Rattus norvegicus: one gene and its partner. The protein of the gene in region 1 interacts with the protein of each later gene in a pairwise test. Links are inferred from orthologs where the notes say so. Each region holds a gene or a part of one and is shown in the gene's direction. Other genes may lie near its edges.

Evidence for each region. The genes of interacting proteins can lie anywhere in the genome.
Region 2: the proteins of Chaf1a (region 1) and Mbd1 interact in binary tests that used the Homo sapiens proteins (3 or more experiments, as listed by UniProt). The link is inferred for Rattus norvegicus from reciprocal best matches to the Homo sapiens genes CHAF1A and MBD1.

Annotation. Positions count from the first base shown.
Region 1 is NC_086027.1:959,348-964,859, forward strand, and holds the start of Chaf1a (chromatin assembly factor 1 subunit A), read left to right. Parts: upstream 1-1,877; 5' UTR 1,878-1,952; coding exon 1,953-1,992; intron 1,993-5,376; coding exon 5,377-5,427; intron 5,428-5,512. UniProt on the Homo sapiens protein: Acts as a component of the histone chaperone complex chromatin assembly factor 1 (CAF-1), which assembles histone octamers onto DNA during replication and repair.
Region 2 is NC_086036.1:70,142,908-70,148,478, forward strand, and holds the start of Mbd1 (methyl-CpG-binding domain protein 1), read left to right. Parts: upstream 1-2,344; 5' UTR 2,345-2,477; intron 2,478-3,555; 5' UTR 3,556-3,570; coding exon 3,571-3,680; intron 3,681-5,571. UniProt on the Homo sapiens protein: Transcriptional repressor that binds CpG islands in promoters where the DNA is methylated at position 5 of cytosine within CpG dinucleotides. Binding is abolished by the presence of 7-mG that is produced by DNA damage by methylmethanesulfonate (MMS).

The DNA of each region.
Region 1 (5,512 bases):
TGATAATAAACGGAGGTAATGAGTAAATAGATTTTAAAGCATAAACAGAAGAATGGTTAAGGTTGAAATTGGTGAAAAGTTGGGGTGATTTCATGAATCCAAAGATTTCTAGAAGGTTCCAAATGACTCAAAGGATTGCACTGCAGTAGATCAAAAATATGTATATGCCATCTTTACTGTTCCTGAATACAGGAGTTTTTATAGTTTGGGGTATGAGTAGTTTCTGTTTCATTTGGTTTTTTGGTTTTTTGAGACAGGGTCTCATGTAGCAGAAGCTGGCCTTACCTCTCTTAGTGCTGCAGTAACAGGCCTGGGACACCATGTCTCCTTTCAAAAACAGTACTGGTGGCTATAGCCAGGGATTTCTAGCATGCTCACAAGACTCATTCAAGGGTGTTCTTTATTACATATGTTGTGAGATGGCCAAGGCTGGCTTCAAACTTGGTACTTAGCTTATCATGGCCTTTAACGTCTAATCTTTCTGCCTTCACCTCCCAAATACAGGGCTGACAGGTGCTTGACAGCAAGATTGGCTCCAGGAGACCTACACAATTCAGTCAAATTATATTCTGCAGCAGGTCAAGGATTTGATGAGGTCCTTGACACTAGAGCATTCCTTACCTTTCTTGAGCCCCTGGCCCAAAGCAATTCATATAACTAATTCATTAGCCAAATAACCCACTTACTAGCCACAACTTTAAGAAAAGAACTGTTGCAGGCACCTGAGCTGTTTGCAGGTGAAGAAGGGAAAGGTTTCTTCCTCACCTTACAAAAGTTTTAGAAACTGGTGATTGTGTTCCAGGCCAGCAAGGCTACATAGTGAGATTCTGTCTCAAACAAAACAAAATAAAACAAACAAACAAAAAACAAAACAAATGAAAAACAACAATAACAACAACAAAAACAAAGCCAATTACTTTTTGATACATTGTATCACTGACTGTCTTGCAACTTGCTATGTAGACCAGGATGTCCTTGAACTCAGAGATCTACCTGCTTGTAAATCCCAAGTACTAGGATTAAAAGCACCAGAATCAATAATTTTTCAATTAATATTTCTTCAAAGTAATTCACATGAAAGGAATTTACAGTTCAAAACACTTATAATTTTACAATAGAAAATATTCCTAATTTAAAAATAAAGCAGGGGCTGGAGAGATGGCTCAGCGGTTAAGAGCACCCGACTGCTCTTCCAGAGGTTATGAGTTCAATTCCCAGCAACCACATGGTGGCTCACAACCATCTGTAAAGAGATCCGATGCCCTCTTCTGGTGTATCTGAAGACAGCTACAGTGTGTACTTATATATAATAAATAAATAAAATCTTTAAAAAAATAAAGCAAATCGTTAATTTATTAAAAAGTGGTTCATCATTTCAAAAAAGTAACTTATATTTAAAAGTCTATAGTTAAAAAGGGAATTAATGTAAGATTAAAGGAAGTGATCCTCAACTTTAATTACAGTAGCTACTTTTAACCCTTCACTAATTAGGATACCTTAGCTCCCATTACTCTTCTAATCCCTCATTCAAGTTGTCACTTCCATTCTAGACATAGCCGTCCCACCTCCTTGAACGCATATAGCCAATAAAAGGGGTGTGGGTGTGGCCAAACGCTGATTTTTAGATTGACATTTCTTAGAACCAATAGGAAATGCGGATCTTCTCGGCCACTCCTGAACCGCCGGAAAGGAGCCCTTCTCCATCCGCCTCCCGCGGGATTTTCAGACACAGAAGCCGAAGTTCTCGCGAGGACGTGCTGAGTGTTCCTCTTTTCCTGAGGCTTAACTGTCACGTGATGCAATCTCATCCAATGGGCGCGCGGGCCGCGGTGATTGCCGCGGTTCCCGCCAAATACGAGCGCGGCGGCCGCGGCGGCAGCAGAAGCGACACCGTCGGGAGGCGGAGTGTGCAGCTGGGCCGTCTGACTGAAGCCTGAGCCGCCGCCGCCGGGATGCTGGAGGAGCCGGAGGCCGCGACGCGGAGAGCCGCCGGTGGGTGAAGCTGCGGCCCAGCCGCAGCTTGAAGGAGCGGGCCACGTCCGGGTGGCCTCGGGACGGAGACCGGGAGAAGGGAGAACTCTTATAGAGGAAACTGAGGCCCCAGGGAGGGGGAAGAGTCAGCTTTGCAAGCTCCCAAAGGGATCTTGTGTCGCCTCAATAGCTAGGACTTGGAGCAAATGGGGAAACTGAGGCCCCGGGGGCGGCTTTGATGGGTTCTGAATGCATATGTCCTCTTGAAATCAATTGGATCTTGTAGCAGCAGGTGGGGAAACTGAGGGCAAGGAGAAGGAAAATTAGTTGTTAAGTGCGTTTGTGAGTACCAGAGCAACTCGGACCTTTGCAATGGGCGGAGAAATTGAGGCTAATGGTCACTGAGCTCTGGACATCAGGGTAGCCGACACTGTGCGGGGCAGGGCTAACCAAGGAAGGTCGGTTTGGGTGGTTAAGCATAGCCAGGAACCCTTTCTGGATCCTGAAAGGGGTCCTTTGTGAGTGTGATATGGACCAGTCTGGTATGTATTAGTCTTTGTAGCATGCGGCAGGCTTCCCTAGATGTGGGGTGCCCAGTCCCCACTGCTTGACAATGAATTGTACCCCCAGTGTTGGTTGAATGATTGAGGAACTGGAAGGGATGAGGACTAAGATTTCTCCAGCTGAGCACTACTGACGAGACAGACCTTCTGGGTACATTATACTAGTCTGCGGAGCTTGGATATGAGGAGGATTGGGGATGGCCAGCCTCAGGGACGGTGAGCAGCGTCCTCAGTCTCCATCCACTTCTGGAATAACTCTGGCCCCCTTTTACAATTCTGATCATCAAAGATATGCTCCTCAACACACACACACACTGTGTTGTTCTGACTGGCTTGAATTTTACATGGACATGATTAATATTCATACAACTGCCCGGACTGTCATGGAGAGTTTTTATTTAACCAACGTGGAACGTTTAAAACCAACACTATTTTTATTGCTCTGGCAATAAAGACAAGTTTGGTTTCGTAGTTCATACCTGCAGTTCAGCATCCTAGAAGCCGAGGCAGAAGGATGATGAAGTCCAGGTTGATCTGGCCTCTGACCACCTGAATTGTATCCTGGGTAGAAGAGAATCAATTCCACAAGCCTCTCCAATAAAGTAATTAAAGTAGAATATGAATTTTAAAGAAAAAAATGCCCTTCAGAAAGAAAAAAATACTTTTTTTTTCTTTTTTTCGGAGCTGGGGACCAAACCCAGGGCCTTGCGCTTGCTAGGCAAGCACTCTACCACAAAATACTTTTTTTAAATAGAAAACTGATGATGTTACCTTTCTTCCATTCAAATGAGAAGAAGGGATTGTGTTCTGGGGGTCCAAGTCTCTAAGCTGGTGTGCATGGGCTGTTTCCCCTCTGGGCAGCTGAGGTTGTAGGAAAGCTCAAGTTTGAATTCCATGTAACATTAGCAAAGTGTATGTGAATTCTCCCCAAATTACCAATGGACTTCTTGTCCATCCAAGTCAACTATTTAAAATCATTTACCTAATGACAGGTTCTAATCTGGGTGTGGTGTCACATGCCTTTAATCCCAGCATTCAGGGGCAGAGGCAAGTGGATGTTTGTGAGTTTGGGGCCAACCTGATATATAGATAGCAAGTTCAAGCAAGTTCAGTTCCGGATAGTCAAGGCTATGTAGGAAGCCACTGTCTCAAAACAAACAAAAAGATAGGCTCTATTTATGGTCCGATATATGTGAGTTTGATGTGCTTACATATTCCTGAGGCTTTAAATTTATTTTAGTGGGAAATATTCTCTCTCATGAGGTCTTTAATTTGTTTATTTTTTGTAGTTACTACTTTTAGACCAGGTCCCCATGTAGCCCAGGCAGGCCTCAACCGCCAAGTGTCCTCATGCCCTGGCTTATGCAGGGCTAGGGATGGAACTTAGATCTTCCTAACCCCAGGTTCTTTATTGTGTCTTGACAGAGTGTAGTTTCTGCTCCAAAATATGTTCATTTCATCTATTCAAGAGTATGACGCCTTCACTTAAAAAAAGTTTTTGTTTAAAGATTTATTTTATGTGTCTGTGTGTGTGCACGTGAACTAGGTGCCCATGGAGACCAGAAAGGGCACTGGATCCCTTGGAACTGGACTTTGAGTGGTTGTGAGCTGTTGGATCCAGATGCAGGGACCAGAACAGCAAGTGCTTTTACTTTCTAATCCATTTGTCCAGTCACACTCACTCTGTGTGTGTGTATGTGTGTGAGTGAGTGAGTGAGTGTTTGTGCGTGCGTGCGTGTAGAGAAAGTGGGGGATCACTTATGTGGATCCTGGGGATTGAGTGCAGGTGGTCAGTAGACTTGGAAAGTGCCCCTCCCTACCTACTGAACTATCTCGTCAGCCCTCACTTGACTTTTGGGACACTCTTGGGCAGTTGAGCCTTAACTGACCTAGAAGGGCCATAATTACGTAAGACATACTACAAGTTTTTGAGTGAGGTTCTCAGAGGAACTCAGGAGGGGCTGAACCTAGGGTAGTATTGCTCAGTGTTGCTATTTTAAGCCAAATATTTGTTGTGGGACTGGCTTGTTCACTGTGGACTGTTTATAGGGAGTACCTGTGTGTTAGCTGAAGGTTCCCTAAAGCCTTCCCCACTCATGAAAACTGCCTCTGGGGGCTGATGGGCGGGCACAAGGGTCAGGGCATTTGCTATTATGCCTGACCACTTGGGCTCTGTCATTAGAACCTGCAAGGAGACTGAGAGGACCGATTCCTGCGAGTCTTTCTGTTCTTTGACACACCATGTGTCGATGTGGACTGGCAGGTGTATACACAGCAAATACAAAAATGTAAAATCTGCGGGGAAGGAGAGCAGCTCAGCAGCTAAGAACACCCACTGCTTGTACAAAGGACCAGAGTTCCCATCCCAGCACCTACCTTCAGTGCCTCACAACCGCCTATACCTCCAGATTTGGGGGGAACTGATGCCTCCTGCCTCTGTACACACCATGCACACAAACACACAGGCATACACATAAATAAAAATAAATTGTAGCTGGGCATGGTGGCATATACCTTCATTCCCAACATTTGAGAGGCAGGGGCAAGCAGACCTTTTAAGTTTGGGTTCATCCCTGTTACATACTAACTAATACTTTTAAGTCTATAAAAGCAGGCTGTGGTACTTTGTGCCTGGGATGCTAGCATTTGAGAAGCAGAGTCAGGATTGCCATGAGGTTTTTTTCCTAGGTCAGCCTGTGCTGCATAATTTGACCCTGTCTCAAGCAAAGAGACAGTTCAGGTGGACTAGATAGGGCCACAGGAGCCTGCTTGTGTTTGAGTGCTGTGGACTTTAGCTAGCCAAAACCCTTTGTAACTTCTGCTCTTCTGTCTTTACCTACAGCCATGGATTGCAAAGACAGACCTGGGTTCCCAGTGAAGAGGTTGATACAAGGTAACTTAAGTTCTAAACCTAGTTCCTAAGTTGTTTCCATCGGCTTCTGTGGGGTCCTTAGAAGCCTGTGAGGGGCTGAGTGGAG
Region 2 (5,571 bases), on another chromosome or scaffold:
TGTTGCCTAGTGTTACACATGACTAGTATATGACCTAATTGTATGGGCAGTTTAGGGTTTTGGAATTCCCCTCCTCCCTCCCTCTTGATCCCCCTGGTTTGTGGTTTTTTCCTTTATAAGCTCTGTGAAAATTCAGGTCGGGGTCGAACTCCTCTACTCCCTGTGTGGTGTATGAGTCTCGACCCCAGCATGCTGGCCTGAGCTCTCGTTTCATCTCGCTTACAATAAAGCTTCCTCGTGTGGTTACAGCAAGTCGGTGTCTGTGTCCTACTGGGTGCGCGTCTTTCCCGAGACTTGAGTGGGAGGATCCCTTCGGGGGTCTTTCACTACTTTCCTAGATATTTATCACCAGTTTTCATCTAAGTGCATCCAGAGTTCTTAACAGGTAACTCAGACCACCCTTACCCTGTAGGGCCAAAGAGACTCACTGGCCACCATATTGCTACAAAATCGGTGAGGGTAGGATTTACTACCAGCAGAGAAAGGTATCTTTGGGTCTTTCTCAGAGAAGAATGATGCTTCTACGTCAACCAGTTGGTTACGGTAAAAAGACAAGATCTGACAACTCCAGAAAGATCTCCAAAAAAAAAAAAAAAAAAAGTAAGAAATGACTCAGTGTCTCTGGCCAGTGGATCATCGACTGTCTAGTATGGAACTGCATACTACCCTTCTTAACCCTCCTCCTCCTAAGGCCTTCTAGTTGCACCTTCCTTTATAAACTTCTTGTCTAGGTTTCTTCAACAATAAATCCAAAAGATTTCTAACCAGACTCTGTAAACAGTGTCTATTACAGGATTTACCTTACCTATGGGGCCAGGAGACTCTCAATTATATACCCTGATGGTGAAGGTTAAGTTCTTCTCCCCAAGGATTTTGATGCCCCCATTCAGCAGGTAGTCAAATGATAACATTGCCCTTTCTGGGCCCCTGATTGTTTATCAATAGTAAACAAAAGTTGTGTGTGTGTGTGTGTGTGTGTGTGTGTGTGTGTTACACACAATGGGGCTGAAGGTAGAAAACACCTTTTGACTGCCAGAGTTGTCAGTAGAAACAAGAGGGTGGGCTCCGCTATTCTCATTCTTCTCCTTACAAGGACAGGAATGGCTGGATCAACAGACTTAGGAGCTTTATGTTAGCCCTAAGGAACCAAAACTTGTGACTTCTGAGTTCCTACGGGCAAAATAGTACCATTTAGCCCAACATGAATATGAATCAGTGATTTGATCCACATGATTCAGAACCAGTGGAGAATGTAGTGTGGCCCAAATCAAGACACTTTCCTCAGGTGTGCTTTACTTTACCTCAGGGCTTCAGTCTATCAGCAGAACCTGGAAACAACTCCAGGGAATCCTCAAAGTCTCTTTATCCATGTCCCCAAAATGTGTAATTACTGTGCAGTGATTAACTGCTAGCTCTGACTTCTTTAAACATGCTTATGGTTGTATGCAAGGTGGAAGAAAAGCATTTTCTCACATAGCTACAAATTCCTCATAAATGAACCAATTGTGGTTTTGCCTTTAAAACTCCCCCTTCCCTTTTAGCCTGGGTTTCAGTCTCTTATCTAGATCTGGTGGGTGCAGTTAGCTGGCCAGCTTAATAAAATTCAGCTAATTGGATTTCATCGAGTGATCTTTCCCAGTCGTCTGGAACTCTCCAACTCTGTAACACACATAACACAGCAGTGCCGAGGAGCAGGTGTGTGAAGCACGCAAAACGGAGTCGTCTTAAAGCAAAATAAATTACCTTGGTCAGTTCACCATTCTCTCCTATTGGGCCTCTGAGGAATGGCAATCTCTCCCTTGGCGCCCTCATTATATTTGCTTGCATACCACGCCTCCTCCTTGTTTCCCAAGAAGGGACCCTGGCCAGGGTGCTGTGATCCTATTCACGAAGTGGGTACCAGTCCTGAAGAAGGTAATCACAGGAACAAAGGAGCTGTGTCTCCGGGAAAAGGAAGTGGACAGGCTTAACTTCGTTGCTGGTGGTTTTTGTGGAGACGTAAATTAAGAGTGGGCCGAGCCAGCGAGGCAATTCACGCCCCCTTGTGTCTGGAGCCACTTTGGAGACCAGCAGCAGGGAAGATTGCATTGACTGGGCACCATCCTCGGTGCGCAGGCGCACAGTCAAGAGAGACCCGGCGGGCTGCGGGTGTTGTCAGTGCGCAGGCGCTGCAGGTTCCCGACAAACCGCGCGCCCCTGAAACCGCAATACGCAGGCGCGGAGCCTCCCCATTGAGGGCACGCGTGACAAGGCTGCACACACAGGTGCTGGTCCTAGTCGGAGCCCCAAAGGCAAGCATTGGGTTTCCGGTTCCGGGACTAACCAACCGCCGCAGAGGCGACAACTACTGTTTTGGAAGAGGCTGCGGTGGAAGAGGAGGAAGAAGAAGAGTAGAACCGGCGGGTCGCGCAAGCGGGATCCTTCCCATGGGTCCACCGGCCTAGAGCCGAGGAAGCTGCGAGCCTGGTGTCAAGCTGGTGAGATAGCGGTGGGAGTGGCGAGAGCTCAGGAGGAGTCTGTGGAGGCGCCGAACGCTAGCGGGGAGACGCGAAGGGCCCTCACGTCAGGGGAAGGAATGGCTACTTCCGGATATTGAAAGAGAGGACTGGGGGGACTGGATAAGAAGACAGAAAAGGAAAAGATGTGGCTCAGGACATTGACAGTGATGTTGAGATTATAGGACCAGGATGGCCAGGAGAAGAAGAGAGAGAACGTTCAGAGAGTCATTGGGCCTTCGTGTTAACAGGATAGAAATGGGGTCCCAAAGCTGATAATGCAAGGATAGGGCCTCGAGACAGTAGAAATAGTAGGGTTAGAATAATGAGGGACGGACTGGAGACTCGTGGCGAACAAAAAGGAAGTAGAATGTCTGATGGTTGGGAGGCTATGGCGTTGTCCTGGAACACAGGCTAAGAAATAAGAGAGGCAGGTCACTGTGGAGGAACAAGGAAGTTTCACAAGATGATAAGAGAAATGGAGAATGATACGTACAGTTAAGAGAAAGAGTAGCTAACACTGGCCATAGGGGTGAGCAATAGAGTCATTTGAGACTGAGACTGGAGAGGAGTTATGGATCGGAATAAGTGAGGGAAAAATAAACTTTGGGGAGAGCTCTTGAACGTAAGGGGAACAGAACACATGAGAGGCTTCCAGCCTGAGAAATGGCAAGAATGTTTGATCCAGTGTATGGAGGAATCCAGGACTCAGACACAGAGATGCAGCTAGAGCACTGCAAGACATTGGAAATTCAGGTGAAGGAAAGTTTAAATGTGTGGTTAGAACACTGGTGTAGTATCCTGAGAAGGAAAGAATTGGGGGCCTCTTACCCAGAGTAGGAGGAACAAGTCTTCTCAGACTGAGGAGGGGTAATATGCATGTTTGGAGGAGAACAAAAAGGAGGGATGGGACTGTTAAGTCAAAGACTGGGAGTATTTCCTGCACCAAGGACATACTTGTGCTAATCTGGGGTTAAGTATTAAAGGAAACGTATGGCTTTTGTGGCCTGGAAATAATTGGCCACTTTTCCCCATACTTTACCTTCTTCCAATCTTGCAGGCTTCTGAAGCATCTATGGCTGAGGCCTGGCAGGACTGCCCAGCCCTGGGCCCTGGCTGGAAACGCCGAGAGGCCTTTCGAAAGTCAGGGGCCTCGTGTGGACGCTCAGACATCTATTATCGGAGGTAACGGGTGGGCTGTGGACAGCGTTCAGTGGAGTTGGACATCGTTAGTAATTAAAGGGGGTGGTGTGTTTAAATCTATGGATGTGGTTAAAGTTGTGCACATAGTCCTTGTTAAAAGTTTTGTGTTTTCTTAATCACCTATTCTTAATAAAGTTTATTTGATCAAAGTCGATACTCACAGTACATTTGTGATTATTCACAGACACACATGGGATAGCTAAAGAATTTGAATTGCCTAGTGCATGTATTTGGAATCAAAGTTGAATAAGAACTCTTATATATTCTCTCTCTCTCTCATTCTTTCTGGTTCTATAAACTGGTCCACCGTCTATTTAGAGCCATATTTTTGTTGTTGGCAAATTTGTTGTTTAAAATGATTCCCAAATCAATTGCTGAAGTATTTTCTAGTGCTCCGAGAGCAAGGATACTGCCTTTTCTCCTTGCCAGATAGGCTTCTTACACGCATGAATTGCAATGCTATCCGGTTGAGTTACAGCGTTCAAAATCAGAAATGGTCCATCCGGAAAGAGAAGAGGAAGCATGTTCAGATGTGTGTGAGGCTGTTCTGGAAAGAGCAGATACTGTTGTAGGGTATTTAATCACACTGTGAACCCTGGGATTAGTTGTATTTACTGGGGGGGGGGGGGAAACCTGGGGTTAGCTGTGGTGTGGCTGAACCTTAGGTCAAGAGGCAGAACAAGCAGCCAGTTGACAGGAAGTGAGCATAAGATTATTAAAGAATTATGGAGAGTAAGAGGTAGTCAGAAGGGTGGACAGAGGGATCCACAGTAGAAGGGAGGACATTCAGTTTGAGGAAGGGATTTTGCATGAGTAGGGACTGCTTGGGCTGTCAGCTGAGGAGGAAGGTCTGCTGGGTGCTCTCTCTGCCTCTCTGAGCTGTCATGCTCTCACCCCAGCATCTGGCTCCCAAGTCTTCTGTGGTAAAATCGAATGCCTGAGATTTTGTTTAAACACCACAAAATTAGGAACAACAGTAAACAGCAAAATTTGTGAAACGGTGAACCAATGGGCAGTAAAGCCTGGTGACCTGCATTGTTCTAAGGAAAGCCAAAGACTTGTCAGTGGGCACTAGAGAAACATAAACATCGGGGGTTGGGGATTTAGCTCAGTGGTAGAGCGCTTGCCTAGGAAGCGCAAGGCCCTGGGTTCGGTCCCCAGCTCCGAAAAAAAGAACCAAAAAAAAAAAAAAAAAAAAAAAAAAAAACCAGAGAAACATAAACATCTCAGCTGATGCTGGCTGGCTTGCATGTTTCAGAAGGTGATATGATGTAAAAACATGGTACTTATAGTACAGGTTCTGTACGGCAGGTATCTTTAGAAAAACAAAATATCAGCAGGCAAACCTAGATAAAACATCCTCTAAAGCCAGTGGCTCTTACTCTTTAACAGTCCTGGAGTCATTCGTAAGAAACAAATGTTACAGTGTTTTTAAGCAAAGACACATAAAACAGGACTATTGGTCAGTTGCTTGAAAATGTGTCAGGCTTGCTGGAACCAACCCCGTTTCTCCCGTAGGCAGAGTGTTCCTTGTTGTAAGAATTCAGGATTTGTAGCAACTAAATAATATATAATTATCATATATGATGAGAATTGACTCTAAACATGTCAACATTATAGTTTATAAGCATGGTATTACTGATGCAACTATTAAAAGTTTTACACTCTTCCTGTATATTTAAGTTGCCATTCCCTAGAAGAATGTAATAAAATTTCTTATTTTTTTTCACATGAGCTTGTATAAAAATTAAAAACCTTCTAAGTAATTGTGCATGTACATATGTACATGCATCAGGTTAGTAAATGAGTTTGTTACTTTTGTGGACGCAGGTAGGAAATGTGTTACTTCTGGGCCAGCAATAACAAAGTTTCT